Caenorhabditis elegans: one gene and its partner. The protein of the gene in region 1 interacts with the protein of each later gene in a pairwise test. Each region holds a gene or a part of one and is shown in the gene's direction. Other genes may lie near its edges.

Region 1 (16,910 bases):
TCCTATACTCATGTGCTATCTAGCCAGCTGCCACCAACAGTTGGTCATTCATCTTTTGAAGAGACTAGGAAAAAACACAGAAAGAACACTTAAATAGTGGCCCGGAATGGAAGGAAGATAGGCAAGTACTTGTGCAGATTTTTCCCCGTGGAATCTAGAATCTCTGAAAATTATCGAAAGCGTCCAAAAATCCACTTTTCGAGCAATTTGAAAAGGCTCGAGATTATTTCTTTTGACACTGAAAAATTAAGTTTCATGGATATTCTAAAACCAATAATTTCACAATTTGATTATCACATTTCCTCATTTGAGTTCATATACCTTTTGTTCTGCTAGAAACCAAATACCAAAATTTCACACCTCTTGACTCATAAATCCCCTAGTTGAATTCCATCCTTTGACAGTTTGGTTACCGCATTGCATCACACCTAATTAGACCAATTCCTTGTCACTGTCACACATTTCTAAACGGATTTGGCACCGTATGTTGAACGTTTTCAGGAGTACGGGCGGTATATTTGTATGATGATGCAAGTCTGTAATTAATCTTTCAAGACCGATCGGTGGGAGGAAGAGAGCAAGCGGTGCGGTTATTAATGAATAACAATATGGTTGGTGCCTAGGTGATGATTTGGTACAATAATTGGGTATATAGAAAGATATAGTAAAAAATATTTTCAACATTTTTCAACTTATTAAAAACTTTTCAATTAATTAATGAAGGAATATCGTTAAAGAGGATTTTTTCTAGATCTACCAATAGTTTTGGAAAAATTCCAAATTATTTTTTTTGCACATTGCCATAGTTTAATTTTTGACGAATTGTCCAAGCAAAACCTTTCAAATAAGGGTATTCCGAATAATTTTTTGTGAAGTGTTTCCTCTCCTGAACTTTTCCCAATTTTGTGATAATATGTCAAATAAACCAAATATTATTGCAACCAAATGCGCAAACATTCACATATATCGCGCATGTAATAATCATTAAATACACATGTACCTGTTACCATATATCTTTTTTATTGACAGATATCCTATATTTGTCTCTTCCCAGCAGGTGTTCATCGCCCTCTTCATGACTTCTGAATAAATACAGACCGGATGGATACAGTGTATCACTACAAGTATGCGCGAAAACTTTCAAGTATTACTAGAGCCACGTGTCATAGCTGTTGACCGTTAAATGAGCATGAGATGAGCTCAAGTGAGTGAGAGTACTTGTTGAGGATTAGCCCATTTGAGAAGGGAAATTGTAACAAGAGAATGGGTAACAGGAAGTTATGTAATCTTTATTGTTTCTTTTTTGTTCTGATTTAAGGAATTAACAAGCAGATGGAGACTAGTTGTCAACGTGTCAAGTGGAGATGGTTTATTTTTTGAATTCTCATGAGAGTCTTGGTTTAATAAAATGGAGAAACTTATGCAGGTTTAACGGTCTTTCTTTAATTGTATTTTTATTTGGAAGTTTATGCTCTCTCTAGTTTATTTTATTTGTTTGTTATTCTTTGCTCTGGCCTAACCTAAAAAAACCATTCATAATTTTCCGGTTGATCACCCTATTCTCTAAATACCGTAACCTAAGTCTTAATCACGTTCCGTCTGTTTCCATTTTCCCCTTTTCTTCATACCGAAACCTTGCTAATGCTCATCACTCATTCGAGCTGTGACCAAAAAAGAGCCGCCACCACAACCACCGTGCTCAACGAAAAATGGTGGGTGACGACGGGAAGGAAATCAAAACGATTTGACAGTTGAAGCATAGTGGAGAGAAAATGGGTGAAATACACGGAGGGATGGAACCAAGCGAGATGAAGATTTATTTATGTTCGACCCAATAGGAGATAATGGAAAAACAAAAAGAAAACAAACCAAAAAATAGAGAAAATTCTGGGGAAAACATAGCAATTGAAAAGAAAACCATCTCGAATTAAAATTGTAAGATGCTCGAAATACGATTTCCGGTCTTGACATGATTTATTTTTAATGGAAGTGTGTGCCTTTATGGAGTACTGTATTCCCCAACTCCTCATTGCGTTCAGTTTTCAAAAATGTTTTTACAGTATACTTTAAAAGTCCATACCTCTTTTGTCTTTAAAATGTAAAGTATTTTTAGACGAAAAAAGCGCAAAATCTCGTAGTTTATCAATTCTCGTCATCTTGCAATAACGGAAATCAAACTTATTTCACACCAATCGAATATTTTTTCAAAAAGTGTGACCATCTGCTCTGTGTTTCCATAAAAATCAATCACCTTGAATGCAGACGCGGAACAAAATCAAAGCATCAAATATGCAAATTTTTGTTTCTTTTTCAAAGTCGCACAGGGCGGCCATAATTATGTATGGTCTTGTCGAAGGAAAAGCTTTTGAACAAAATTGATGGAGTCACCTACGATTTTAAATTGTTATAAAACTGTTTAGGTAGTGCCAAAATGATTGTATGTATGAAATATTCTAATACTTTCCAGACTTTCAAAATTTACAATTTCAGTTAAAATTTGGTAAATTGCCAAATTCCGGGTTTTCTTCAATTTTTTGCGAAATACACAGAAATAACTTTTTGAATTTAAATTTAAATACAAACAATAGAAACATCATTGAAATATAATACCCGAGGAGAAGTAAATATATTTTTGGTAGAGTTCAAGAAATTATAATATTTGAAAACTGAATAATTGTAACTTTTTGGTGGTACTACAAAAGTTTTGAGATCCCATGTTAGTAAACTTGAAAGTAGTAAATAACTATTGTTATTATTCTTATTGTTACAATTAGTACTTGTTTACAACTTCTCATCTTTATCTACCAATTCAATGCAAAATGACATATTGGAAAGGGTCAATCAAAAGAGGAGCCTCTAGTTAAATGCAAAACACCAGTAGGGAAAGAAAGAGCACATTTATTTGGTATTTTTATGTTAAAAAATATCAAATTTCGATATAAACTCAATTATTTCTTCCAAGTTCTATCTCCTTTCTCTTTTTGTTTTGAGCAACAGTGCATGCACCACTAAAAGAGTACATGGAATACAAGCAGCTCTTAACAGATGGTATTACTGTAGATATTAGGGAGACGGAATGATGATTGACTTCTCCTCTTCTATTCAATTTCTATCGCTTCCTAATCTGATTGGCACTCATTTTGTTTGTCATCAAAAGACATATGCCGGCTCTCCCGAAAAAGGAGAAGACACCTAGTGCTCTTTCTCTCTGCGGGAAGCTTTCACCCCATCCCCAGTCTTTCGAGTGTTTGTATTTTGTTAATCAAGAGGCGACAATATGGAATGGGATTAGTGGATTTACAATAATATTTTTATTTTTCTGTTAGGGAAGTGTTGAGGGAAAAAATTTTTAAAGCAAAAACATGTTTAAAAACATACTTCTCGCCAACCGTATGATTATGCCATTATGGATTTTGTTCGAATATGCGTATACGCTATATATTTCAAAATATGTCCACTTTTCAATTACTGTACCACCTTGCAAATTTCTCTTTGTATTTGAGTTGGTTTTGATAAATTTAAAACTGGGTTCCTTTTAATATTAAAAAAATTTCTGGGTACGGTAGCTGAAAAGTTCCTCTTAAAGCTTCCTTTGAGGAGTACTGTAGCTTCATACTTTCTGTCTTTTTTTTCGCAATTTTTTGCGATTCTCTGAAAATTGCGACATGGGGAACTACGATAGATCTTGAAGGCCCCTTTTCGGCTGAAACTTTTTGGCCACTCCGAGGCCTGGTACCGTATTTCAAGCTAAAACCGCGGCCTTCCCAAACTGGATAATAAACCCAAACTCCTAAAAGCATAACTGGCATCTTAAAAGATTTCCAAAACTGTTTTGATATGCAAATTCGCTCTACAGTACTACTATATTTATAACACCCGCCAAAAAAGCTCATCGCAACAAGTTAATCCTCTAAACAATAAGAAACAGTGGGCAATCCTCTTAATATCTTCCCGCATGGTCAATGTGTGATATTTGCATTACAAAAAGGGCGATCTAGTGACGGCGCGGGATAAGAAGAAGTGTCGGGTGGTTGTAAACGTTGAGATTTTCTGAGAAGCCGACACAGTTTTATTATGCGGGAAACGAACAGACGGATCATTGTAAATTATACGAACAAAAAAGTGAGCAAAAGAGTTGGAAGTGAATCTTCGAGTGTGGGGTTCGAATAGGTTTCTTAGAAAATTGTGTTGAACACGTTGTGTCAAGATGTCCCAAGATGGTTTGCTATGCAATAGATACAGGAATCGTTAGCCCAGAAAAACAGAAATTTTAAGCCAGCTTCGGTAGATTTCTTCAAAAAAATTAAGAGCACAAAGTTCCAGAAAAAAGAAATTATCAGATACTCCATTCTCTATAACTTTATTTTCTCATTTACCACCCAACAGTTTGAGTAGTACTAGTAGGTGACCATTCATTTTTGCAGATGCCACGTGGCTGGCAGATGGTATCACGTACTCCATTGTAATGCATCCGGATGGTTTTTATTTATATTGCACCTATTTCCGCATACATACATGTATCACTTTAAAGGTACATGCCAAACTAAAATTAAAAATCTAAAAAATGTTAATACGAATTGTCTCGTTTTAATTAAATGTTTTCAAAAAAATTAGTTAGTGTAATCATAAATGTTAACTTTCGCTGCAAGACCACGTCTGAAAAATGCGTGCACCTTTAACCAGGCGTTCTCTTGTTTATTTAGTAATTGATAGGATCATCTTGATCCTTCAAACGAAAAAAGGGAAGTGTACACTTCATCCTTTAATTAATCCCTTATTTTGCCGCCAACATAATCCGTAGAAATGGTAACCGGATATACTCTGCACATCATTTTCTTTGAGGTGTCTTCTGTTCATATTGACACCTCCTGTTACGTAACACACAAGAGCTCTTTGTGCGGGAGAAGGTTGCGCCGAAATGTCGAATGGATTTGCATGAGGGGAATTACTAGATAAGAAGGGAGATGGAGAATACAATAAAACTATTTATGATTAACTGTAAGGCGAGACAAAATCATTAATAAGAATGCATAATTTCGGAGGTAACAAGGTGAAAATTATATGAAAATAAGATAATTCAACAGATCATTAAGAGAATAATGGTGAGGATAGCGAAATCGTGAAACAATATATTAAAAATTATGAAAAGTTGAAGCAAAATTAAAATTTCAAAGTTCCTCCTCATATTCCTCACTGTTTTCTCGTTTCTTTCCTATTGATGAACGAGAAGGTGACTTTCTTTGCGCTGAAAATGGAAAAAAGTAGAGAAATTAAACATTAATCTTTGGTTATAATGAGTTTAAAAAATAATTTCTCACTCACTTTTCTTTGTGCTTCCTCCATTTTTCGACGTACTCCCTATTGCTTGTTGTTGCTCTTCAGCAGCTGCAGCTACCGACAATTCAGCAAGCAAATCTAGCGGATTCTGAAAAATAATTTTTTTCCTATGATACTTCACAATATAAAAACAAATTTTACCTCTTGATCGGTGGAAGCAGCCGAAGAAGATGTAGACGCAGAGGGAACATTAGGTTTTGAATGAGAAATAGCTTGATTCGCTGCAATTGCGGCCGCCCGTGGTGTTCTTCCGGATGGAGTTGGTGTTGTCCGTTTTGTAGATGATTTTGGAGTTTTTGGACGATCTGAGAATTGAGAATATTATTAAAATATCAATCTTTATTAAATTACAAAGATTTTGGAAAAGTAGAATAACTAACCTATTTTCTCCTTTTCCTTTTCTGGAGATGGCACAGGTGCTGAAACATCTGATGATTTCTTTGCTGGAGGCTCTCCAGACACTGTCTCTGCAGAAGAAGAAGAAGTTGTATCGTGTATTAATGTAGCCTCCGAAGATGTTGATTCAGATGCCAAAGTTTCATCGATTTTCCGTTTATTGGAAGTTATTGTCATCGCAGCTGGTGCAACTTTTTCTATAACTTCTGGAGCTGGTGAAGGATTCGAAAATGATACATCTGATTGCGGATCCACTGATGATTCTGAACTTTTCGTCGGTTCTGGGACGCTTGTTGAAGCTGCAGAAGTTCCTTTTTGAGCGCCTCCCGCAGCTTTTGATGATTCTTTTGCACCGGGAGCACCGGCCTTTCTGCCTCCCTTTTCCGGTGAATTTCCAGCCATCAAGAGATCTATTTCATCTTGAGTTAGTGTTGAAAGATCCCGATTTCCAATTGACAAAAATGTTCGTACATTGATGTTTGCCAAACGTGGATCATGCTGAACTGTGTCCAATGCAGTATGCTGGGAGCTGAAAATAATTCAGAAATCAGAAGAAATCAGATTCTTTGAAGGTTTTGTGAATTTCGAATAATTTATAAATACAAACCCCGAAGCCACAGAACTTCTTGATGGACCAGCTACAGACGATGAACTTCCTGATCGAACAACCGTATAACTTGTTGTAACTCTTTGGGGTCCCATAAGACGGTAAGGTGGAACTGGAGTTTGTCGCCGAACAGCTTGAGGGCTCTGATTCATTGCTACTGGCATCATAGATCCTTGTCTTGGCGGAGAAATTAATTGAGGGCTTCCTTGTTGCGCTGACGGCGTCATTCCTGGTCTTTGGCCAGCCATTTGAGATCTGAAATCATGTAAACTTCAATTGAAATTGTAGAAACTTGAAAAATTTCCAGCTAACGGTGATAGTTTTCAGTTTATTGTTAGATTTCACGAAAAAATTACCTATAAGCTGGGCGAGTTCCGACATCGGCTGGATTAAGTCCTGCAGCTATAGCACGATGTGGTGCTATTGGAAGACGTGATGCTTGAGATCGAAAAGTTTGAGAAGATGTACCGGGTTGTGGTGATTTAGGAGGAGCCAATAGCTGAGATGATGATGTAGAAGTAGATGGAGTGAGTGGAGAGTGTTGGGCATGACGAGATGGAAGTTCAGCTGAAAATTCAAGATTAGATATTTTATTAACTAGACTTTTTTTTTACTTCTTCGATAGGCATTTTTATAATATGGAACACCGCGTCTCGATGGTTCTGGTCCTTGAAACATGGGTGATGGTCCAATATCATCTTCAATTGAATCTTGAGTTTGTTCTAATGGAATCATCTTCGGTTGCTGTGAACGAGCTGCATGAACTGGGAAACGAGGCTAGAAAATTATAAAATTGACACTTTTAGATTGGAAAAAATTATTATTTGGGACTAGGGCCTGTAGATTTTTGGTTTTTTTTTAAATGTTTTGCCGAAAATTTATTCTTCGTTTTTTTCGAAAATAAAAGTGAGCCAAAAACGTAAATTCTGATATACTGAAAACCTTAAAAATTTTTAAATTTTCCTTTCTCTCAAAAAAAAACAGTCATTCCCATTTTTAAAAGAGTGCAATTTTTATCCAGATATTAAAATTTTTCCGAATCACGTTTCAATATTACAACATTTTTCGTCTTTTTTTCGGTTTTGTCGCCAAATACCTAACGAGACCCATGACTCGGGGGCGGAGCGTATTGAAATGTACGTGGAGCTTGTTTGAATAATATTACCTGTGGAAGAGGCCGTGTAGCCGAGCTCGTAGATTGATTTTTCCATCCTTGAAAATTCATTTTTCCAGGTGACGAATTGTACGCTGTCGATATTATCGATGGCATTTTCTTTTGTGATTGTTGATGGAATTGATAAGAATTTGGAGATGTCCCAAATGATGGAGAACGTCTTGGTGGTAGTCGTTGTTCTGGAATTATAAATAATTGAAATTTTCCAATTTTAATCGTAAACTAACTCTTCTTTCCTCCACCAAACTGACTTGCATCAATAGGTCGAACTCTGAAATCACTATTATCTCTCTAAAAGTACATTCATCGTAAAATCAAGACCCACCTTGCACACGTTTGAGACATCATCTCTTCTTCTTGCATTTTTAATTTCTGTTGCTCGTGGAGCTGCTGTGATGTCATCGGAGGAGTTCTGTTAGCTTTTGGTTGATATGGTACTTGATTAATTCCTGGAGGTGGTCCCATTTGTGGTGGCCGGAGTACTTGAGCCGGTGGACCTTGATAACGACGGGGTAATGGAGCAGTTAATGTATTCGATTGATTTGAAAATTGTTGCATTGGGGAAACCATCTGTAACTTTTTTAAATGTTAGAATATTAAACGGCTCAAATAGGTTCAAAATCACCTCAAAAACCGAATTTCACAAACCTTTGAAAAAAAGCGCAAAAAAATGCAGAAAACAGAAAAAACCCAACTTTTTTTGGTCCAGCAAATAGAATAAAGCTTTTCACCTATTGTTACATTTTGTGGTAGTTTATTTCTTGTTCATACGTTGATTTAGGTACACTTAAAGGTGATAGGTTTCCTAAAATCATTGAAACTAGACAAGTTAGACCGAAATTTGGCAAAAATGATCACAATCGCTCAAAAAAACCCTTCTCCAAAATTGATAACTGCTGCGACACGGACAACCTCGTGAAATTTTATATTTCAGAAAATTTGAATTTGTTCAAAATTTTGAAAAAAAAACCTCGCTACAAAACTTTTTGGAAATTTTTGAGAAGTGAAAATCGGCTGCTTGAGGTCATTTTGGGAATATCAAAATCTAAATTGATCGGTTTTTTCTCTTTTAACTCAAAAATGTCTGAAAAACAAACCGATTCGATTCTTGACAAGTTTCCCAGTGTAGGCTCGTCGTCGTCGGATGAATTCAAATAGCAGGTTATCTAAAAATAACGACTTAAAAAATGTTTTTCTATAATTGAAAAAAAAACAATTTACCGAATTTTTCTCATCTTTCGGGGAAGCATGTTCACCAGGTTGGACACACCGATTACACGGGCAAGACGTAGTTTCAGCTATTGCAGAACTTTCTGGAAATTTTTTTAAAATCAGATTTTTTCAAAATGATTTGGCACTCACTTATATGGAACGAACATTTCGGATCAACTCCTCCAATTGCAGTAAGACCACATGCATTGCAGACATCGAACATTTTTTGAGAACGATCCAGTATAATATCTGGACTTTGAATTTGTAAGCCACGAAAAAATATTTTTAAAACTTACGATCAAAGCAAAATTTGCTAAGATGAAGCGCCGGCTTGTTACATTGCTTTTCAGAGTCGATTGGTTCAAAATTGTCAATTTTATCCAAAATAGAGTGCATTGTGTGTACAATAACTAAAGAATCATCCATATCTGGTCCAACACAACATTGATGGAATACTGGATCAATTGTCTAAAAAAATATCAATAGAATAATGAAACATTTTCAGAATTCATTACCGTCAATGTCAGATAGTCATTCCTTGAGTATTTTGTGGATGCTTTGAAAATTCTTCGCTGGGCCATATCTGTTGGATAATCTGAAAAACGCAATAAATTTCATCGAAAATGCCTATTAAATTGAATTACCTTCTTCTTCATCATTTCCTAACAATTCATGCTCTTTTTGTGCTTGACTTGTGACCAATTCTTTAAATTCAATTAAATCGTCAATATCCTTTTGTACTAAATCCATCTTGATATTCAATATATCTTTGTCAGTATAGTATTCAGCGTATCTGAAATTTCGAATTTATTTTTCTAATTCCCAAGAAAAATAATTAATAAGAATACCTTAACGAATTATTATCCAATATATCATCATTTGCCACATCTGGAAGACGCTGAGGAACTGTTTGAGCAGCTTGGAGGTAGTCGTCATCGTCTCTGGAAATTGTTATTTTCAATTTCAAAAAAAAAACTTTACTTACGAAATATACTCATTTGATGCAATCCACGGATCAAAACGACGTCTTTGCATCTTTGAATCATTTTCCGCATGGCACCGCATCACTTCTTTCTTATGATTATTTTCTAACGTTTTTGAAAATTCGACGTGCTCTTCACAACGGCCGCCATGTTTCGCAAGTTCTTCTTTTGATCGTATCTAAAATTTTAAATTTGAAAAAAAGCTTACTATCAAATTTTCGTATTTTTTCTCACCTGCTTACACCGAACAAGCGTTCGATACGAAGCATAATTACATTGTCCATACTTATTTTTGTCGTATTCATTGGCAACAAGACGGAATCGTGTTCCAGGTGCAACTATATATTGAGCAGGAGGACGAGTTGTTTGTTTCATGCTGCTTAAAAATAAAAATGGAAAATTGAGTCAAAAAGTTGAGATAAAACAAATTAAAACAATTTTCTGAAAAATAAACAACTGAAATTTGAAGTAATAAACAACACGCGAAAACGTTATTTCGGAGCATCGTTTGAGAAGTAAAACTTTTTTTCGGCGCACCCTTGTGCGCAGTTTTTATCTTCTCTTTTAATTTAATTTTCAAGCTAAATCTTTCTTTTTAAACTTTGAATAAATATTTAAATATTCAGAATGCACCAATAAACCTGGAACAAAATCGATAATGTTCCGCAAGCTTGGTTCTTCTGGGTCACTATGGAAGCCGAAAAATCCGCATTCTTTGGAATACCTCAAATATTTACAAGGAGTGCTCACAAAAAATGAGAAAGTTACGGAAAACAATAAGAAAATATTAGTAGAAGCATTACGAGCTATCGCAGAAATTCTCATTTGGGGCGATCAGAATGATGCTTCGGTTTTTGAGTGAGTTTTTTTCCAATGTTTTTTTTCAAATCTGATGTTGAATTTCAGTTTCTTCCTTGAGCGGCAAATGCTTCTTTATTTCTTGAAAATTATGGAACAAGGAAACACACCACTAAATGTACAATTACTGCAGACTTTGAACATTTTATTCGAAAATATTCGACATGAAACTTCACTTTGTAAGTTTTTTATATGGATTTTCGCTTAAAATTGCCAGTTTTCAGATTTCCTTCTAAGTAACAATCATGTAAACTCGATTATTTCCCACAAATTCGATTTACAAAATGATGAGATCATGGCTTACTACATTAGTTTTCTGAAAACTCTTTCATTTAAACTGAATCCAGCTACAATCCACTTCTTCTTCAATGAAACGACTGAAGAATTTCCATTGTTGGTAGAAGTTTTGAAGCTTTATAATTGGAATGAATCAATGGTTCGAATTGCTGTTAGAAATATTCTTTTAAATATTGTGAGAGTTCAAGATGATTCAATGATTATTTTCGCTATCAAGCATACAAAAGTTAGTAGAAAATTATTTTGAAAAGGTGTATTTAAGCAATAAATATTACAGGAATATCTATCGGAGTTAATAGATTCTCTAGTTGGTCTCTCACTTGAAATGGACACATTTGTACGATCTGCTGAGAATGTGTTAGCTAATCGAGAGAGATTACGAGGAAAAGTGGATGATTTAATTGATTTGATTCATTATATTGGTGAACTATTGGATGTGGAAGCTGTCGCCGAAAGTTTATCAATTTTAGGTCAGTTTTACTGCTGGAAAATCAAGTTTTTAATGTTAAATTTTCAGTAACAACACGATACTTAAGCCCTCTATTACTTTCAAGTATATCACCAAGAAGAGATAATCATTCACTTCTACTCACTCCGATTTCTGCGTTATTTTTTTTCTCTGAATTTTTATTGGTGAGTTTTAACATTTAAAATTACATTTTTCTAATTTATTTATTTTTCAGATAGTTCGTCACCATGAAACAATATATACATTTTTATCATCTTTCCTATTTGACACTCAGAATACTTTGACGACCCATTGGATACGTCATAATGAGAAATATTGCTTAGAACCGATTACATTATCATCACCAACCGGAGAATATGTGAATGAAGACCAGTAAGAGCTGAAATTTTAAAATTTTTGCTTTGAATATAGTATTTTCAGCGTATTTTTCGATTTTCTACTGGAAGCATTTGATTCCAGTCAAGCAGACGATTCGAAGGCATTCTATGGATTAATGCTGATTTATTCAATGTTTCAGAATAATGGTGAGTTTTAAAAAATTGATTTGTTAAATTAAAATTTCCATTTCCAATAACTCCTCTTCAGACAGTAAGTTTTCAATGTTGTAAAGTTCCTGTTCATCTGTGATCGTTTTCTTCATTTTTTTAGTTTTGCATGAACAGTTTTCAAATTTTTTTGATATCATACAGTAAATATCGTCATCCAGATAATTTTCTATTTAAAAAAAATGAATAAAAAGAGGGCGCGCAGAAATTGCCGAAGTAATGTAAATTTAAAGGGACACATGCGTAGCTTGTTGTGTGGGTCTCGCCGCGCTTTGTTTGATTTATCTTGTTTTCTGCTCAAAGAGCTGTTTTTATTTTAGCGTTGAATGCTTTTTTACCGTTCTCATCGGCTTTTTAATAGGAATATTTAAAAAAAAAGGTTTAATAAATCTTCGTTTTTACAAAATCCATCTAAGATTTGCATTTGTGAAGCTCAACAAGTAAAGTTTTAAGTAACATTGTTTTTTAAAAAACAATTGAACCAAATTTTGCCGAAACATTAATAACATGACGATACTCTATAAAATATTCCTCTTTTCAAAATAAATTTTCAAAAAAAATCCATTTTTCAGCCGATGTTGGAGAACTTCTATCTGCTGCCAACTTCCCAGTGCTCAAAGAATCAACGACAACTTCATTAGCTCAACAGAATCTTGCTCGTCTCCGAATAGCATCTACGTCTTCCATATCAAAGCGAACGAGAGCTATCACTGAAATTGGAGTAGAAGCGACCGAGGAAGATGAGATTTTTCATGATGTTCCTGAAGAACAAACGTTGGTAAGTAAATAAATCAACATTGATTGTTACACAAACTTTAATATTTTTAAATTTGAAAATTTTCTTCAAAGTGCTCAAAAATCCTGTCGAAAATTACAGGAAGATCTGGTGGATGATGTATTGGTTGATACTGAAAATTCAGCAATAAGTGATCCAGAAGTGAGTAGAAAACGTGCATGTATTAATTATTAAAAAAAAAATATAGTTTTCCCCAGTTTTCCTTGACCTAAAACTCAGCAATTTCAGCCTAAAAACGTGGAGTCAGAATCTCGTTCTCGATTTCAATCTGCTGTTGATGAGCTTCCACCTCCGTCGACTTCTGGATGTGATGGTCGACTTTTTGATGCACTTTCATCGATTATCAAAGCAGTTGGAACAGATGACAATCGAATTCGACCAATTACATTGGAACTTGCATGTCTTGTAATTCGGCAAATTTTAATGACTGTTGATGATGAAAAAGTAAGATTACAAATTCAAAATTGAGCAAAATCAGAATCTAAATTTCATAAATTGTTCAGGTACATACCAGTTTAACGAAATTATGCTTCGAAGTTCGTCTAAAACTTTTATCATCAATTGGACAATATGTTAATGGAGAGAATCTGTTTTTGGAGTGGTTTGAGGATGAATATGCAGAATTTGAAGTAAGCCAAGAGGTCCGAAAATAATTTAATTCATCCTTTTTATTCAGGTGAATCACGTGAATTTCGATATAATCGGTCACGAAATGCTTCTTCCTCCAGCTGCAACTCCTCTTTCGAATCTGCTACTTCATAAGCGATTGCCCAGTGGATTTGAAGAACGAATAAGAACTGTAGGAAACTTTTTAAATTTGAAAATTAATTATATATATATTTGCAGCAAATCGTATTCTACCTACATATTCGAAAATTGGAACGAGATTTGACCGGTGAAGGAGACACAGAATTACCTGTGAGAGTGTTGAATTCTGATCAGGAACCAGTTGCCATCGGTGATTGTATTAATTTACGTGAGTTCATCTGCATAGAAAACACCATATTTCTACTCAAATTAACAATTTTCAGATAATTCGGATCTTCTATCCTGCACTGTGGTTCCTCAACAACTATGTTCTCTTGGAAAACCTGGTGATCGTCTTGCTCGATTCCTTGTCACTGATAGACTTCAATTAATTCTTGTCGAACCGGATTCTCGAAAAGCCGGATGGGCAATTGTTCGATTCGTAGGACTTCTTCAAGATACAACAATTAATGGAGATTCTACGGATTCGAAAGTTTTGCATGTTGTGGTGGAAGGGCAACCCTCGAGAATTAAGGTAAGAATACTAACGGGAAAAAAAAATCAAAAAATTACTTCTGTTTCAGAAAAGACATCCGGTTTTAACTGCAAAGTTCATATTCGATGATCACATTCGGTGTATGGCAGCAAAGCAACGGCTCACCAAGGTAACGGAAAAAATAACCAAAAAGACGGAAAGTTATTGTAAATGGACGAAATCGGCGAAATTAATTGAAAACGTTTGAATTTGCCGCTAAAACCAAACGAAAACCAAACGAAAGCGAAATTTAACTATCCCTTCAGGTAGAATATACATTTTATTTCTCTTTATAGGGTCGCCAAACAGCACGTGGTCTGAAACTTCAGGCGATATGTTCAGCTCTTGGAGTTCCACGTATCGATCCAGCGACAATGACGTCATCACCACGAATGAATCCATTCAGAATTGTGAAAGGATGCGCACCGGGAAGTGTACGAAAAACTGTTTCCACATCATCATCGTCAAGCCAAGGACGTCCCGGACATTATTCTGCAAATCTTAGATCAGCATCTAGAAATGCAGGAATGATACCAGATGATCCAACTCAACCGAGTAGTTCTTCGGAAAGAAGATCCTAGGGATCAATATCTCTTCAGTTTCATCATTTTATGCTGTAAATTGTATTTAAGTATTCCTATTCTTTGTAGTACTGTATTTACACATCGTCTAGTTAAAATCACAAATCTCCGAAAAAACAAACCAGTGAACATGTGATATTTCTCTTGCCCATAGTTCTCTTTTTTTTTTGAAACAAAAACAATTACTTTTATGCTCACCTATTCGAGCCATATTTTTTTCCCAATTACCGGTTGTTTATTTTAATTTCTTTTTTTTTTCTGTAAATCTACTTTATTTTTAAAACTGCATTTGAGATTGTGTATATTTTTTCAAAATGGTTCAAATGCCGAATCTATCTACTTTTTAATCATTATTCAAACAGAAAAACCGATTATTTATTCAGATTCTCAAAAATGGCTGAAAAAGCTGAAAATCTTCCATCTTCTTCGGCCGAAGCTTCAGAAGAGCCATCACCTCAAACTGGACCAAATGTGAATCAAAAACCATCGATTTTGGTTCTTGGAATGGCTGGTTCTGGAAAAACGACATTTGTTCAGGTAACTTTCATTCAATTTTGAGAGTTTTCAAACATTACTATTTTCAGCGTCTCACAGCATTCCTACATGCTCGTAAAACACCTCCATATGTGATTAATCTGGATCCGGCAGTTAGCAAAGTACCTTATCCAGTGAATGTTGACATTCGAGATACTGTGAAATACAAGGAAGTTATGAAAGAATTCGGAATGGGACCAAATGGAGCAATTATGACATGTCTTAACCTGATGTGTACTCGTTTTGATAAAGTAATTGAGTTGATTAATAAGAGATCTTCTGATTTCTCAGTTTGTCTTCTTGATACTCCTGGACAAATTGAAGCATTCACTTGGAGTGCTAGTGGATCTATTATCACTGATTCATTGGCAAGTAGCCATCCCACGGTAAGGGATTTTGATTTATGAAATCTGCTTGAAATGAAAAAAGATTCTAATAAATTTTTGACTTTTAAACATTTTTTACAGTTATATTTGGTCTATTTTCTATCATTAAAAGCAAAATGAAAAGTCGATTCTACTCCATATTTATTAATTTCGACTTTTCAGGTGGTAATGTACATTGTGGATTCCGCTCGTGCCACAAATCCAACTACATTCATGTCCAATATGCTCTACGCATGTTCCATTCTCTACCGTACCAAACTTCCATTCATTGTCGTTTTCAACAAAGCTGATATTGTCAAACCAACATTTGCACTCAAATGGATGCAAGATTTCGAAAGATTTGATGAAGCTTTAGAGGATGCCAGAAGCAGTTATATGAATGATTTGAGTCGTTCATTGAGTCTCGTTCTTGATGAATTCTATTGCGGACTGAAAACAGGTTTTTATTCGAAATAAAACCTTTTTTAAATAATAAATTTCAGTTTGCGTCAGTTCTGCAACTGGAGAAGGATTCGAAGATGTAATGACAGCAATCGATGAAAGTGTTGAAGCATACAAAAAAGAATATGTTCCAATGTATGAAAAAGTGTTGGCTGAGAAAAAACTATTGGATGAGGAGGAGAGAAAGAAAAGAGATGAAGAGGTAATTGTAGTAATTTAATTCTGATTATCTTCAAATTTTCAGACTCTGAAAGGAAAAGCTGTTCACGACCTGAACAAAGTCGCCAATCCCGACGAATTTCTGGAGTCGGAGTTGAATTCAAAAATCGATAGAATTCATTTGGGCGGAGTCGATGAAGAGAATGAGGAGGATGCTGAACTCGAAAGATCCTGATTTTCTTTTTGTTTTTGAATTTTTATTCTATTTTGATCCCTGTTTACTTCTTATTGTTCTCATTTTGTTGCGTTGTTTTACATTTTACTCATTTTTGCATAAACTTGTTGCAAAAATCAATATAATTTTTGATCTGGAAATGGTTTTAAACCTTAACCTTTCATATATTAATAATTTTTTTTCAAAAAAACGTTCTAAAAAGGTTCCTCATTTTTTCAATATAGGAAATTTTGAAGATCTTTTCCAAAAATGAGGTTCTTCGCTTGAAAAGCCAACATTTAAAACCTTTTTTTTTCCAGAAACCTAGTGGTTAATGTCTGAAAAGACGTTCCACAAGGCACAGACCATCCGTGCAAAGGCATCCGGAGTGCCTTCAATCGTCGAAGCTGTACAGTTTCATGGAGTTCGCATCACAAAAAACGATGCTTTGGTTAAGGAGGTACTACCCAAATTTCAAAATGTTGCACAATTCAATTGAAAATATAAATTGTGAATTAAATTCAACTTACATGTTTTTTCAGGTTTCCGAATTATACAGAAGTAAAAATCTAGATGAACTTGTTCATAACTCTCATCTGGCGGCTCGTCATCTTCAAGAAGTTGGATTAATGGATAATG
Region 2 (16,981 bases), on another chromosome or scaffold:
CGTACAGCGAGCCTTGGGATCAACGACAAGCAATCTTCCAATCAAATCTCGTGCACCCTTCTTCACAGAATCAGGGTAAGTAAACCGTGCCGCTTTGATTGCCGCATATGTCTTGGACTGATCTTCGTGCTCGAATGGGGGTTTTCCAACGAGAAACTCATAGCAGAGAACGCCGATTGCCCATAAGTCAACTGCGTCACTGTGATCGGCTCCATTCACCATTTCAGGAGGGAGATAGTCCATTGTTCCGCACATTGTTTGGCGCCTGAAAACATGACAGTGAATTTTTGGAAACATCTAGATTTCCTAAATTTGAGGATAAACTCACTTATTCGAAGGAGCATGAACACTCCATCCAAAATCTCCAATTTTCAATTCTCCTTGTGATCCGATAAGCAAATTCTCCGGTTTAATGTCGCGATGAATCACATTTTTCCTGTGGCAATATGACAAAGCATCTGCGATCTCATACATATATTTTGCAGCTGTTGGCTCTGAGAATCTCTTGCTCACTGTCAATTGCTTGTACATTTCGCCTCCGGGGGCATATTCCAAAACGAGATAGATCTTCTTCGCATCCCAAAAATATGTGTAGAGCTTGATAATATTCGGGTGATTCAAATGAGATTGAATCTCAATTTCACGCTCCAATTGATGCTCGACGCCTCCTGAGATGAGTTGCGATTTGAATAGAACCTGAAAATATGTATGGGTAAAACGGATGTCAGAAAAATGATAATTCAAATAAATACAAAATAAATCAATATGTTACCTTGATCGCTACATGGAAATGTCCAGTTTTTGTGCGAGCCAGGTAAACACTGCCGAATTTTCCTTTTCCCAGTGGTCTTCCGATCTCGAAATCGTTAATAGTAAATTTTCTGTAAAATCAAGAATAATTTATAAACTTTTAAAACCTTGATTTCTTACCCTCCCTTCTGTGGAGTATTCACAGTTTCCTTCTCTGGAAGGTTGATTACAGGTGGCTTATTCTCCATGTCGGAACTGAAAAGTTTTTTATGAAGAAATAAAATAGACGGCACGATTAAGGACAAATTAACTAAAAGAAAACATCACGATAAATTTATAAATTGAATTAATTAGAAGTTCAATGGCCCAATTTTTAATTGAATACATTTAGATATTTATGTAGAATAAAAATAGGACTAATTCTGCTTTGATTTCAAAAAAAAGTGAGAAATCAACACATTACCTGAGTAAATATGTTTACAAAAAACGAGTTTTGATTGCAAATAATTCTAAAGAAACTAAAAATTGTCAGCTGGATAGTAAGGAGAAATGCAAGCCGTTTAAATAAAAAATTAACGCGGCAAAATGCAATGGTCCGCAATATGTCGTCATGTACGGTGTAAATGCGTACTTGGCCCTGTGCCAGGCCCGTTTATCCTGCTTTTTTGTTTGTTTTAAATTAAATTAAATTGTATTTATATATTTTTGTTCTTCTTAAATGTTTTCCTATCAAAACAATCCGTAGAAAATTAAGATTCAACTAGAAAATTTCAGTACTCATTGGACTATGTACGGAGTTCTTGTAATTGGAGCTCCTGGAGCTGGAAAATCTACATTTTGTGCAGGATTAACGGACATTTTCTCACAAACCAAACGACCATTTCTCACTATCAATCTTGATCCTGCTAATGACACAATGGCATACGCACCTGATGTAAATATCACTGTAAGTATTTTATTCCAATGAATATAGGACAATAATTATGAAACGTGGTACAGATCATCTATCAATGTTATTTTAATACTTAAGGTCATATTTTTCATTTAAAATACTAAAGTTTAGGAAATGATCACTGTGAATGATGTAATGGATCGACTTGGACTTGGACCAAATGGAGCTCTCAAATACTGTATTGAAACACTTGGAGCTAATTGTAATTGGCTCCTCCAGGTAATTTTTTTGGCAGAAAAAGTTAATTCTCAAAAGCTAAAAATTGTTTTCACAACAATTGAGCTAAAATCTGGAATTCTCTAAATTTGAATCGAGAAAATCGGAAATCATTTTTAACCTCTTTGTAGTTTTAATATTCAATTAAATCTTTTTTCAGAAAATCGAAGCGAATCACAAGAAATATCTGATAATTGATTGTCCCGGACAGTTGGAACTATACAAAAGCGAAGGCGAACTATGGAAAGTTATCCGCTTTTTGGAAAAATCCGGTGTTAGACTATGTGCCTTACATCTTGCCGATTCACTTTACTGCAGTGACCCATCGAAATTCATTTCTGTTGCATTATCCACATTAGGTAAGAGTTCATTAAGATTAAAAAAAAATTGAAATACTTTTCTTGTCTCTCGACCCGAAATTTCCAAATATAATTCAGCTGATTTCCTCCAAAAAATGAAAATTTATTTTTGTTCTGTACAATTTTGAAACTCCATGGGCCTTTATGTATTTCTGGCTAAGAAATGCAATATCTTTCTGGCACATAAAACTTTCATTTAATCTGAAACCTATTTTTGTTATTTATTTGATTTTAGATGGAAAAAATTGAAATTCGGAACCACTTTAAATTTTGTGTGGCTGAAAGGAACAAATTAAAATTATATTCATTAAAAAGCTTCAATTTCAGCGACAATGGTAACAATGGAGATGCCACAAGTAAACTGTCTGTCAAAAGCAGATCTTTTCTCTGAAGACGGGACCTATGATCTCGAGTTTTTCTCCCATTTACCTGATGTCAATCGACTTTTGGATCTTTTGAATGAAGTTCCCGGATTGGAAAAATATCGAAAATTGAATGAAGCAATTTGTGGAGTTATTAGCGATTTCGACCTCGTTTCATTTGTACCACTTGCCGTTGAAAATAAGGAATCAATGATGAAAGTTATTCAAATGGTTGATGCTGCAAATGGATTCTCATTAACTGAACAAGGAGATATTCGAGAACTTATTCTTAATTCAAAAGCCTAGATTTTCTACCAAATCGTTTTGTTTGCTTTTTGCAAATCTTGTTGTTTTTCCTGCTTTCTCTCAAAGTAATTTTTTACCCAATACCGGTTATCCTTGCGCATGTTCTCACTTGTTAAGATTTTCATTTCGAAAAGTCATCAAGAAACCAATAAATATTCATTATCATCAATTAATCATACATCACAATCTTATTCTGGGACGAGCTCTTCACTTTTTCCACTCGACCTCACATTTCTATCTTTATGATATTTTTCCATTTTTCTCGAAGATCTTGCTCTTCTACTTGATCGCGTTTTTTCTCTGCGACCGTCGTTCTGAAAATGTTTTGATTGAAATTGAGAATTAAACTTTTTAGAGAAATTGGAAATTACAATCATTTTCTAAATTTTGCGATCTCAAAACGATCGAAAGTTTCAAATTGAAAATTTATAAAAGAATTTGCGACTTTAAGGAGTATGGTAGTTTCCACTCTCCACCGAATTCCAAAATTTCCTTTATTACGCGGACACGAAAATTTGCTATTTATTGGGCCAAAAATGTGGAACTCGGTGTCTCCACGACGAATTTTTGTTAAGCCTGATAAGTTGTACGCCTTTAAAGAGTACTGTAATTTCATATTTTGTTGCTGAATCGATTTTTCATTGTTCTTCTATAAAAACACACTTAAAAAACTAATAATAAAAATAAAAGAAAATGAGAGGGACTATGAAAAATTGATGAAAATTCGGTAGCAACGAAAGTTGGAAATTACAGTAATCTTCAAATGCGCACATATTTTGTACAGTTCTGCTTAAAGGTACCATTTTTCACACACTCTAATTGAAAAAAATACTTGGCACGTTTCGAGACCGGGTATATCAATCATAAACAAGACTTTAACTCACCCGATCACTATTATCATTTCCATCATTAGATGACCTCCTTCGTGGTTTTATTATGCTTCCAAGATTCATATTTCTGCCATCTGTAATTCGAAAATTTAATACTAGGAAAATTGAATTTATATGTCTAGGGATGAGGATTTCCGTCATTTCTTATGCGCATGGGTCTCGGGTAACAAATTACTGTCGATATACCGACCGAAGGCTTTTAAATAAGAAGTTGATGGACACCAATTCCAGTAATCCTTTTTCTGCCTGGCGAGTCCCATGTGGGTAAGATATGGTGAAAACTTTCATCTTTAGATATCAACGTAATATTAAAAAAAAAACTAACCATTTCTGCCATCTCGCCTTTTATTAGTTCCTTTATTCCTCGTTCTCGTCTCTTCATCACTTCCTGATCTTTCTCTTGAATCTCCATGATCTTTGTTGTTGTCATCTGAAGATTTGTCAACTGAGAAATGACCTCCTTTAAAAGAACCTCTCTGGCTAATAACGAGTTTTGTGTTCTTACCAGGAGGTGGAACTCCGTCGTTTTCTGGAGTTGAGTTGTGTTTGGGCATCATCATGTTATCACCATCCGATGTTTCTGTTTTCATCAGCTTCCGCTTTCCATCCACCATTTTATAGAATCGTTTTGTCTTTTTAGTTCCCATCAGTTTTTGACCATCATCTTCCATAGGACCACCTGGCACTTTTTCTTCCTTCACGAGTTTCCGATTTCCATCCTTATCAATAGTATATGATCTTCTAGTTTTCTTGGACCAAATCATTTTTCCATCTCCTTCGCCATCGGATGAAAGATCTCCTGGTACATTTTCCTCTTTTATCAGTTCTTTCTCTCCATTTGCATCATATCTATAAGTCTTCTTCCGCTTCATCATTTTCACAACGTGTGTTCCATCTTGAGAATCATCTCCACTTTCATCATCTCCCATCTTCTGAAGCTCCTGTTTTCCATCCCGACCGAGTTTGTATATTCTTTTTGTTTTCTCGATTCTCTCCCCATCCAACGGTTCCGGACTATAACTGCTCTTTTTTGTTCCAAGTTGACCCATTGGGATTTCTTCTTCTCTCAAAAGCTCGCGTTTTCCATCAGCTCCCACTTTATAGAACCTCTTCCTTTTTTTCATCATAATTTCTTCAGAACCTTCACCATCCTGATCATGAGACATCGAACCTTCTCCAGTTAAATAAGCCTTCTTTTTTGACATTTTAATTATTTCTGAACCATCATTGGACGGATCATTGGCAATAACTCCCATCTTCTTCTTTTTTGTCAAAAGTTTGAACTCTTCATCTTCACTTTCCTCTGGCATGCTTTGTGGTTTTTCGATTTGATATTCCTTTCTTTTCATAACTTTCACAGACTCTCCATTCTCATCTTCATCGGGTATTTCTGAACCTTTTCGGTACAGCCTATTGTTTTTTCCAATCACCAGCTTCCCATCTCGATCATGACTAGGTAACGCTTGATCATCCGAGCTCTTTTCAATTTTTTCACCATTTGGACCTATTCGATATGTTCTCTTCTTTGTGATCTTAATCTGCTCCCCATTTTCACCTTGTCCAGGAACATCTCCTTCAGTTTTTATCAGCACTCGTTTTCCATCAACAATTTTATAAAACTTCTTCCTCTTGAATAGTTTAATCTGTTCATCTTGATCTTCTCCTGGTTCATCTTTTGAGATTTTTCTCGATCGACGCGATTCGTCCTCGTCCTCGTAAATTTTTTCACCGTTCTGTCCAATTCTGTAGAACTTTTTCTTCGTTATTTTCACAGATTCTCCATCTTCATCTTGCTCGGGAATATCTTCCTCTGTCCGTATCAATACTCTCTTTCCATTCACAATTCGATAAAAGTTCTTCTTCTTGAAAAGTTGAACATCCTCGTCTTGATCTTTTCCTGGATGATCGGATGTTTTTCTCCTGAATTGTGGCTCATCTTCATTTCCGTCATAAGGTATCTTTTGCCCATTTGGTCCAATTTTAAACGATTTCTTTTTTGTGATCTTAACGATTTCGCCGTTTCCATCATTTTCTCCGGTTGGCTTATCACGTGCTCCAAGATATAATTGTTTTCTTTTCAATAGCTTAATCTCCTCGTTTTCATCTTCATCGTCTGGAGTGTCTCTCTTCTCGCCATATTTGAAAATTTTTTTCTTGGTGATAGCAACTGATTCGCCTTGATCATCGGGCAATCGAGGAGTCGGATCGGATATCGATCCTCCAGAAACCTTTTTGATAACAGTTGTTTCTCCATTTGGTTGTTCTCTATCAGGTCTACTTCCTTTTCTTTCGAACTCTTCACTTTCTTCTCCGAACCTTGGTTTTCTTCTTCCCAATTCTTCACTTTCCTCTTCATATTCTGGCTTTCTTCTCCTTCGGAACGTATCTTCTCGATTTTTCCATTTCTTTTGATTTTTCTCTTTTCTGTGATTCTCTTCCTCATGCGATCCTCCAATTTTATAGAATTCAGAGTTTCTTTCAGTAATTGAAGGTTTGGCACTCTTTCTTCCTGGCTTGTGAGCCCATCTGAAAATCTTTGGAGCTCTTCCTCTTACAGCAACTCTTCTATTCACCAGCTCCTCTCCTTCTTCCTCATCATCAGGCCGATCGTTTCTCTCAAAGTATTGTCTCTTTCGATTTCTAACAATGATCTTCCCATCATCTTCAACATTTTCTTCGTTATCAAAGTTCTCCTTTTCTTCATTTCCAAACTTCATCACCTTCAGTTTTTTGACAACTCTGACCTCATGTTCTTCTTCTGGCTCTTCCTCTTGCATTCTCCGTACTATTACCAACTTCTTTCTGTGACTCTTCAGTCGAACTCCCTTGAAATCATCTTCTTCTCCTTCAACAATTTTCCGAGTTACTTCTCGAATGTCGGGCTCTTCTCCAGAATCCGTGAAGCTTGGTCTCTTTCTGATTTTTCTAGGATTTCCACGGACCTTCACAAATCCTTCAAATTCAATGTAACTTTTTGGCTTATTCTCTCGAACATCCACAAATTCATCATCTTCATCATCAGGTCTTGAGTATTTTCGAAGTGGACGCCTAGACTTTTCAACTTTTACCAGAGTAATCACTTCTGGGTATTCTTCTTCATCATAATAGTATTCTGGCTCAGCAGGGGTAGTTGTAGTTGTTGTTGTCGATTTCATTTTACGAACTTTCCGAGGAACCATCACAGTTTTACGGGTGATCTTAAAGTCAGGACCGCCAATTTCTTGAACAACAGCTTCTTCCCCAGGGATTCCGGTTCCAAAGTGTTTTCGAATTCTGACTTCCCTCAATGTTGCGTTTGGTAATCTTCTGTTTTTTACAAGCTTCACTATTTCAACAGGTTCCTCGTCTGGAACTGTCTTCGTTCGATATGAATGAGGATGCTTCTTAGTGACAGATAACAGAACAACTTCTTCTTTTGGACCAATCCTCTTTCTCGGTCTTCTCATAATTTCTTCAACGTCTTCTGAATCATCAACATCTGGCTCTGGCTCTCTTGTCTTCATAATCATTTTTCTCACTTCAATCACACCACCTTCATCTTCTTCATCTGGTATATTAGATGGACGACGTCTTGTTGGAATTCTATGAATAACTTTCTTCACAAGTATAACTCCTCCTTCAGATTCTGAATCATCACCAGGTGATCCTTTGATAACTCTCTTCCGAATGCCTGTAGTAATTCTCACTCCAAAATCTTCATTTCCCTCCAAAAGTCCTTCATCGTCGTCTGGCCGAAGATGCTCATGAATCTCTAGCTTCTCTACAAGGACCCTCTCCCCACGAGGTGTCGGTGGAATAGTTGGGTTTATAATGATCTTCTTCTCCAGTTTGATAGTTTTTGGTTCTTGCAGACATTCTTTCACCCATTTAGCGTAATCATCTTCATTAAGATCATCCGTATTTATTCCCGAACATTTGAGAGATTGACGTCGTGGTGGAGGAGGTTGTGTGGATGCTGTTTCTCGAGTACGGCACCGTTTCAGATATTCTTCAATCTGGAACAAAAACACTCATTACTTTAAGATAAAAACAAGTGTCTCAAGTTTCTAATTTCTACCAAACATCTTATGATTGAGTCATCTTGCTTTTCTTCATCAGAATAAACTTGCCTCTGTATAAGAAAGTTTTGACATGTCAACATTATGGCAATCAATTGATGTCTTCCTTTCAACAGGCTTCGGAGTCGAAGGATGTCCCAAGCATCGAACTTCATATTCAGAATATTCATCATCTGACATTCCATCAACATCTCGATTGTAACATCCATCTTTTACTGGCACATTCTCCTTGTTAATCACCAATTTCTTAACGAGAACCACAGATGCATCAGGTTTTTGACATTCTCGCTGGTATTTTGAGTACTGAAATTTTCTAGAATAATTTTTTGAAGCCCAAAACAGGAATTGATACTTTAAAAGTGTATTCACATGCTGTTGGTAGTTTGGAAATGAAAAATGAAAAACTTCTTGGATACAGAATTTTTAGATAAATCCAAATACAATCAAGGTTCAAGCAGTCAAAGCTGGGTGCAAGACTAATAGAGGAAAAAGGAAAGTGATGTCAATTATTTGAATGCTCACCTCATCTCTTGATAAATTAGTTGTATCAACAGTACTGCAATCATATCGGAAAAGTGGATGAGTTAAACATTTTTTCTCGAATTCGGAATATTCTTCATCAGTCATCCTATCAACATCTTGATCGTAACAACTGAATTTTTCTTTACCAGTTCTTATCTTCACTTTCTTTGTCAGAATTATATTCTCTCCAGGACGATATCTATCGGTTGTAACTTTCACGTTACAATGTTTTTTGAAATCTGAATATTCCTCTTCACTCATCATACTTTCATCTACAATTGAACAATCAATTCGTTTTCGAATTTTAGTGGGCGGAGTGTCTGACGGAGTTGTTTCTTTGACGCATCGAGATTTGTATTTAGCGTACTGAAAATGTCGAGAATAATTAAAAATTGACAGAGATATGAAATTCAATTTCTAACCTCTATTCTGCTCAACTCCTCGACCTTTACGTCGTCACATGAATCAATAACTTTTGTAACTTTAGTTGTAGTCTTTTTACATTTCTTTCTATATTCCTCATATTCTTGTGCATTCATTCGTTCAACTTTTGCATCTTTGCATTCGAATTCTGGTCTTTGTCTACATTCTTTTTGGAATCTTGAGTACTCCTTGTCAGATAATGTATCTACATCAACAGTTTCACAGTTGAACGGCTTCTTGCTACATGCTTTTCGAAACTTTTTGAACTGAAAATAGATAATTAAATAATTCAGTTTCGTGAAGACTATCAAGCAAAAAAACTCACTTCCTCATCACTCATGTTGCTAACATCCAAATTACAATTGAATTGGAATGTTTTTCGGAATCCAAGACATTTTTCTTTGAACTTTTCATATTCTGCGTCCGGCATTTTGTTGATATCTTGACCAGAGCACCAATCAAATTCATCTGGGGAATCTCCAGGCTTAGTCGGTGGTTCAACAATCTTTATAATTTTAGTGAGTTCAACATGTGGTTTTCTAGAGCATTCCTGTCTGAATTGTTGGTATTCTTCTTTTGTCATATCATCCGTGTTTTTATTCTGACAGCCATCTCCTACTTCGACGGTTTTCGTAATTTTGACTCCTGTGGGATTATTCGGGCATCTTCGGATATATGATCTATATTCTTTGTCCGTTAACTCATCAATATTGACTTTGGAACAATTTTCATCTGGAGGATTAGTTGATTTCCTTGGATTCCGCAGACACTTCTTTTTGTATTCAGCATACTAAAAACATTAATTATAATTATAAGATACGTTTCATGAATCATATTTTCTAGATCTTGTAGTATGATCACATTACAATCAACTTTTAATTATCACAAAACCAACAAAAAATTCAGTTCAGAGTGAACATTTCAGTTTGAAAACAAAGTATGCCGAAAAAACTCTAGGAGATTCAAATTTTTAAGAATACACCAGATCAATGTTTTGACTGTTTTGAACAAAATTTTTCAGTTGCTCCAGTTGTTCATATGGAAATAAATTTAGTAATTTCACAATTCATGACACTTTTTCTTTGAAGATTATTTATTTCCCAAAGGACTGCTACACAAGAAAACCCAAATACCTCATCAGCCGTCAGTTCTTCAACTTTGACGTCTCTGCAGTTTTCAGAAGGTGAAGATCCTGGTGGTCTTTCACGTGGATTTTCTGGACGTTTTGGTGTACCACAACGTTTTTTGTAGGCGACAAACTGAAAAAGATAATCCTGGATTATATGAAAAATTGGAACCGGCCTACTTCCTCTGCATCCATCTCTTCAACATTGATATCTTTACACTTCATTTCTTCTGTTTCAGACGGTGGCGGATCTTCTTGAAATGTGCACTTCTCGTTGTACTTTTCCAATTCTTCACCCGACAATTTCGTTTCATCAATATCAGCACAATCTGGTGAAGTGGTCTTTCTTGTTGGTCTACATTTTCTTCGATACTCGTTGTACTCTGTGTCGCTCAGTTTTGCGATGTTAATGTTTGAACAGTCTTCGATAACTGGTCGTCTCTTTCCACATCTCTTTTTGTATGCTCTATACTCCTCTTCTGATAACTTGTTGGTATCCACGTCATCACAATCATGTCTTTCAGGTTGAGATTCACACCTTCTCTTGTACTCTTTATATTCCGATTTGGAAAGTTTTGATGTATTAATCGAAGAACAGTAATCGGAATTTCCAGGTTTCTCCACGCGTATTGTTTTTTCAATTGTCACAGGTGGTCTTCCAGTCTCCCCGCCTGAAGGTGTACTTCCATCTTTTGGTGGTTTATTGATTACTACCGTCTTTTTGATAGTAACGGATTCTTCCGGAACCTTAGTATTTCCACATCTTCTCTTGAAGTCAGCATACTGAAAATATAAAAATAACCTTTAAACGTGAAGTGGATACTACATGACAGAACATCGGATTAGAATGCTCTAACTTTTTTTTTAGATTTTTGAAAATTTCAGTTAGTTTTGGTAAGTCCCAAATTTTGTAAATGTTGTACTGGAGTAATTGTGAACAAATACCAGCAGCGCTACCCCACCTATTAACTGAATTAATTTCACTCGCTTACCTCTTTTTCTGTAAGATCTTTGACACGAATGTTAGAACAGTCATCTTCAGGTGTATATGTAGACATGCATCTCTTCTTATATAATCTGTATTCTTCATCTGACAATTTATTGACATCAACTTCATCACAGTCAGGTTTTGGAGTTTTTCTCTCTTTTCCACATCTCTTCTTGTATGCTCTATACTCCTCTTCTGACATTTTGTTAGTGTCCACGTCATCACAGTCGGGTCTTGCACATTTTCTCTTATACTCCTTGTATTCCGCTAAGGTAAGTTTTGCTACGTTTACTGATGAACAGTTATCTGGATTACGCGGCTCTTCTGGTCCTGGAGGATTATTCTCAATTAGTTCCTTCTTAATCACAACTGTGGGCTCTTCAGGATTTGATTCTCGATTTCCTGGAGTTTCTGGTGCACTGAGGCAGCGCTTTTTGAAAGCAACATACTGAAAAACTATTGTGAGAGGTTCTATGAGCCGGATAGAAAATATGAACTAGTCTTTAATTTTTTCAAAATCTTAAGTTTTTTTTTTCAAAAATTAGATTTAACTACTAGCTTAACATCCTCGAAAATGGGTAGTTCTTTATATTGAAAAAAAGTGCTCACTAAAAAATTGTTATTTATAAAATTTTTTAGAAATTTTTATGGCAATGCATTAAACTAACTTCCTCGGCTGTCAATTCTTCTATTTTGACAGTATAACAGTCCTCTCTATTTGGTTTTTCCGGTCTTTTAGGTGTTCCACAATTATTTTTGTAGTCCCGATATTCTTCTCCTGAAAGTTTTGTGACGTCCACACTATCACAATCAGGCTTTGGAGTGTGTCTCTCTTTTCCACATTTCTTCTTGTACATTCTGTATTCCTCATTTGACAACTTATTAGTGTCAACGTCATCACAATCTAGTTTTGGAGTTTTTCTTTCAAGAACAGATTCACATTTTTTCTTATACTCTTTGTATTCTGACTCGGAAAGTTCTGATGGATTGACTGAAGCGCAGTAATCTGATTTTTCAGGATCATCTGGTCCGGGTGTATTTTTCACAATGACTGTCTTCTCGACATTTGGTTCATTTCCATCTTTGGGCGGTTTATTGATTACTACTGTTTTAGTAATTGAAACAGATTCTCCCGGATCCTTTTCGTCAGTTGATCCGCATCTCTTCTTGAAGTCGGAGTACTAAAAAATTAGTTTCTTTTTTTATTTGAGAAATGCGAATTAAAACAGGAGTTGCGCTATTGGGAATATTCTATAAATACTATAAGTTTTGCCAAAGTGCAAAACATACGAAAACTTCTTGAACCCCTACCATGTTCAAAAACACGAAGTCTAATTTAAATATTATCTTTAAATATTATTATACCTCTCCTTCAAAAGAACCACATTTTTTGCCGAGCTTCTTGTAATCAACTGAAAACTATAATCTTGCTCAAACCGCATTTTATCCTTTTTTGCTAAGTTTTAGTTTGTGAAAAATTTGGTATAGATTTGAAATGAGTGAACGCTTAAGTGACCTGATTTTACTCTTTGATCTAGTATTAACAGAGTACACTAACAAAGTTTTAATAGTTAAAAAATTTAATAAAAGTGTGATATTTCCCTTACCTCGTCTTCTGTAAGATCCTTGACATTAACATTGGAACAATTATCTTTTGGAGTTTTCTTCACTTGACATCTCTTCTTGTACATTCTGTATTCCTCATCTGACAAATTGTTGGTGTCGACGTCGTCACAATCTGGTTTTGGAGTTTTCCTCTCTTTTCCACACTTTTTCTTGTATTCCTCATATTCCGAGTCGGAGAGTTTTGAAGGGTTGATTGAACCACAGTCATCTGGATTCTTGGGACCGGTAGGATTTATGATGACTGTTTTTTCAATAGTAACTGACGGTTTTTGCCTGTCCCCATTTGGAGGAGCATTGCCATCTTCAGACGTTGATCCACATTTCTTTTTGTAGATTTTATATTCTTCATCAGAAAGTTTACTAGTATCCTTTATGCTACACTCTGGAGTCTTTCTTCTTGGCTTCTTTTCACAATTTCTTAGATATTCATTATACTGTTCTACAGATAATGAATCAACATTTACGTCATCACATACTTCACTTCGAATCTTCTTTCCACACTTTTTCTTGTATTCCTTGTATTCTTTATCACTGAGTTTATCCACATTCACCGTTGAGCAATTCATTGGTGCTCCACCACCTGGTTCTTGTCTTTCTTTAGAAGGAATCACACTGCTCAGACAATTTTTCTTGTATTCTTCATATTCGGAATTTGATAAAACCTCGACGTCAATGTTTTTGCAATTTGGAAGAGTTGTGTCGACCGGATTTCCACAAAGAGTAATGTGTTTCAAGAACTGAAAAGAAAAAATTAAAAATCTAAAGTAGAGACTACATTATGGCTGTTTTAAATTTTAGAAAAAGGTCAATTTGGCAAATATCTAAAGTTTTGCCAATTTTTCAGTGTAGCAGCGGCCAGAATGAATTCACATAAATCAACAAAAAACGCAAAATAAAAATAATAGCAAGCATCAGCTATAAGGGCAAGTTGGCAAAATTTCAGATTATCGATAAACTTACCATTTTTCTAAAACTTCTGAGCGCCATACAATTTAAAACTTCGCTGTTCCCCTGATAAATATTTCTAACGTACCTCTTTCCTACTCATTTCCACTAAATCCTTCGAGTCACAATCAGTGTCACTTGCGTTACTTTCCTTTGGACGGCGTCTTCCACATTTTTTCAGATACTTCTTGTACTCTTCCCTGCTCAATTCATTTAAAACAATATCCTTGCAACTCTTATGAGTATAGTCAATTCTGCATCGACGTTTATATTGAAGGTACTGTAAAATTTCAAAATGAGTGTTCTAGGTTTCATCAGGAATTGAAATAAAAAACGAACTTCTTGTTCACTGAGCTCATTCACATTCACATTATCACAGTTGTCTGAAACTTTTCCGCATTTCAATTCATAATTTTTGAATTCTTCCAATGTCATATTTTCAGTGTCAGCTTCTTCACATTTGAATTCTGTTGATGGACGTAGGCGTGGTTTGCATTTTAATCGATATTCATTGTACACTTTCCTAACAAGACGACGAGTTTTGAGCATTGAGCAAGCATTTATTGGTTCCAAGCATTTTTCAGCAAAATCTCCATACTAAAATGTAAAGAGAAATTAATTGTGTGAAAGAAACATTTGAAAAATCGGAATTTGTACCCCAAAACGTACCATTCTCTCTCCCAACTTCTCCACCACAATATCCTTGCAATCTTTATCCAATTCGTTAGTGTCTCCTTCACATCTTTTCTCATAAACTTTTTGTTGTTTCTTTGTCAATACATTTTTTCGTTCTATTCCACAGAACAGTCCACATTTGTTGACATATTCTTGAAGCTTATGATCACTGAGCTTATCGACACGGATTTCATCGCAATCATCTCCTTCGAAATTAACTTTGCAGCGTTTTTTGTAGTCGTTGTACTACAAATTTCTATATGAGACGTTTTTTTTTTTCATAGGATAAATAGTGCAGTTGCGTGAATAGGGATTTCGCTATAGAATGCTTAATGTAGTTTGAAATTAGAAAATCAAAAAAGAAAATGAGAAAATCGAGACAGATCGCAAACTCTAACATAAAAAACGTTAATTTTCATGTTTGAATTTCCTCCATAAAAAGCTCTCCAGGACCAATCATCAATATATATAGAGTGTATAGGGTTCAACGAAAATCGCTAATTGGTTTCAAAGGAATTTCAAGTAAAGTGGTCTGTCAAAAATGCAAAATCCTTGCATCCATATAAAACAATTTGAGCAATTTCAAACTATTTCGATTATATTAAAAAGCGATTTCCCATTCAAGTTGTTCCACCACCATTAAATATATAAACTCTTGCACCAACCTCATCTTCACTCAATTGATCTACATTTCCAACAGAATCACAGTTGAATTCTCTTCTCACACAATCACTTCTAAACTTTTCATAATCCTCATCACTGTGATCCTTCATATTCACATTTCTGCAGTCTTGTGTGTCTTTCAAACAAACTTTCTCGAATCTTCTATATTGTTTTTGGGTCAGTTTTCTAGCATCAGCCGTTGAACAGTTGACCACCTTGTCGAGACAATAGCGTTTGTATTTTTTGTACTGAAACTATGGAAATCGTTCCATAAAATTAAAAAAATTACTAGAAAGTGTTACCTCTTTTTTGCTCAATTCATCCGGTTTAATATAGGAACAATCCAATTTAGTCCAGATACACTTCCTCTCATATTCCTTGTATTTTTCTATTGCGACCTCATCAACTTTCATATCTCTACAATCTGGAGTACTTCGAACACATTCTTTTTGATATTTCTTCATCAGTTTTTCACTGAGATTTTTTGGCTCAACAGTTTCACAATCAAAGTTTTCAACAAGGCACTCTTCTGAGAATTTCGCATACTCATCATAGCTCATATCATTCGTAATCCGATCTTTACAGTCAGGGCTTGGACTTAGACATTTTTCCTCGAATATTAAGTACAGTTTTCTTGAAAGTGTTCTAGGATCCGTGTTCGGACAATCAAAATCGTTTCCAGGTCGATTGAGACATTCTCGTTGATATACTTTGTACTGCAAACTAGTTTTTAAAGTGAGTTCACGGAAGTGTTGAAACCCCTAAAAATTTGGAGACTTACCTCTTCATCAGTCAATTCATCAACATTGCCCATGGAACTACAATCGATTGATTTTAGACATTCACTTCTAAACTTTTCGTGCTCCTTGTCATTCTGATCCTTCACATTAACATTTCTGCAGTCTTTTGTGTCTTTCAAACAAACTTTCTCGAATCGTCGATATTGTTTTTGAGTCAATTCTCTAGGATCCACTGTTGAGCAGTTGATCTTCTTGTTAAGGCAATTTCTTTCGTATTTTGCATACTAAAATTTATAATTAAATTAGTGTTTGAAAAACGTTTTTCATTGTAAAACATTATACAGCTTATCTTAAAAATTAATCAAATATAATAAATGGACTACTCAAAACAGAAAATGCTTCAAAAGTGCTTTCTATGCCAAAGCGAGCTCCGAGATAAATCGACAAAAATCACGATGGCTTTTGCGTGATCCTCCGTTTTAAAGCTATGGAATGGGATTTTAAATAAATTGAATTCTTTATCTGTACTAGAATAATGTTCTCTTAGGCATATCAGCCTTCCCACGGGATAGGTCGAAACCTTCTACTATCTGATTGTACTACTGTAATGTAGACACTTCTACCTACGTGATTTTTCTTACCTCTTCTCCAGTCAAGTCTTTTGGATTGATTTTTGCGCAATCTTCTGCAGTTCTGCATTCTTCTTTATATCTTTGGTATTCTGTGTCACTCAATTCATCTGGACTCACACTATGACAATCCATTGGTGGTATTTCAGTACATTGCCGTTTATACTCAGCATACTGAAACACAAAGTAATATCAGCTTTCCATATGAGGTGTTCTCATAAAAGGATATTTACAAACTAACATTAAATAATTGTGTTCAATCTTATTAAACTTACGTCTTTATCATTCAGTTTCTCAGCATTCGCAGTTTTACAGAAGTTGGGAGGATACACATGCGGTGGAGATTGTGGAGATGGATGAAGACATTCTTTTTCGTAGACAGATCGCTGAAAGGTTCATGTAAACATCTGTAGGAAGCTAAAAGCAATTCAAACTGCTCGGATTTTCGGGGAGTACTAGTGTAGAGAAGCTATAGCCATGAAAGCAACTACCTACTGTGAACATGTTGTAAAAAACTGGAAGAAAACGTTCGATTCCTTACTTGAAACTACGGAATGTGAATTTTTGAGATACCGTACCCGCGCTTCTTTCGCTATATTTTTCTCTAGTTGTTGAGTTTTTTCGTTGTAAGAACTAAATATTTTTGAAAAAATAATTGGAATCGTGACAGATATTGAGAGAAACTTGTCAAATAAAGGGTGTAAAGAATTGGAGTTTTCCGCAAACACGTAATATTTTGCCAAACAAATTT

Evidence for each region.
Region 2: the proteins of gop-2 (region 1) and B0207.6 interact in a two-hybrid assay, tested with the Caenorhabditis elegans proteins (one large-scale study listed by BioGRID).

The regions. Positions count from the first base shown.
Region 1 is NC_003281.10:5,244,103-5,261,012, forward strand, and holds gop-2 (GPN-loop GTPase 1), read left to right. Parts: upstream 1-14,920; 5' UTR 14,921-14,930; coding exon 14,931-15,074; intron 15,075-15,121; coding exon 15,122-15,457; intron 15,458-15,619; coding exon 15,620-15,896; intron 15,897-15,939; coding exon 15,940-16,100; intron 16,101-16,142; coding exon 16,143-16,292; 3' UTR 16,293-16,410; downstream 16,411-16,910. Other genes in the region: Protein sumv-1, read right to left, coding at 5,169-5,245, 5,323-5,425, 5,479-5,642, 5,718-6,262, 6,341-6,595, 6,697-6,907, 6,955-7,117, 7,506-7,693 and 11 more; gop-1 (Protein CLEC16A homolog), read left to right, coding at 10,368-10,567, 10,616-10,746, 10,792-11,090, 11,142-11,334, 11,382-11,497, 11,548-11,705, 11,754-11,857, 12,451-12,656 and 8 more; SAM50-like protein gop-3, read left to right, coding at 16,606-16,731, 16,814-16,910. UniProt on the Caenorhabditis elegans protein: Small GTPase required for proper nuclear import of RNA polymerase II (RNAPII). May act at an RNAP assembly step prior to nuclear import.
Region 2 is NC_003279.8:5,921,501-5,938,481, reverse strand, and holds B0207.6 (GPN-loop GTPase 2), read left to right. Parts: upstream 1-1,524; 5' UTR 1,525-1,537; coding exon 1,538-1,696; intron 1,697-1,813; coding exon 1,814-1,921; intron 1,922-2,078; coding exon 2,079-2,277; intron 2,278-2,604; coding exon 2,605-2,945; 3' UTR 2,946-3,112; downstream 3,113-16,981. Other genes in the region: air-2 (Aurora/IPL1-related protein kinase 2), read right to left, coding at 1-265, 329-696, 773-881, 931-998; B0207.5 (SUEL-type lectin domain-containing protein), read right to left, coding at 3,134-3,259, 3,830-3,909, 4,161-4,295, 4,341-7,830, 7,945-8,196, 8,416-8,781, 8,838-9,104, 9,164-9,628 and 13 more.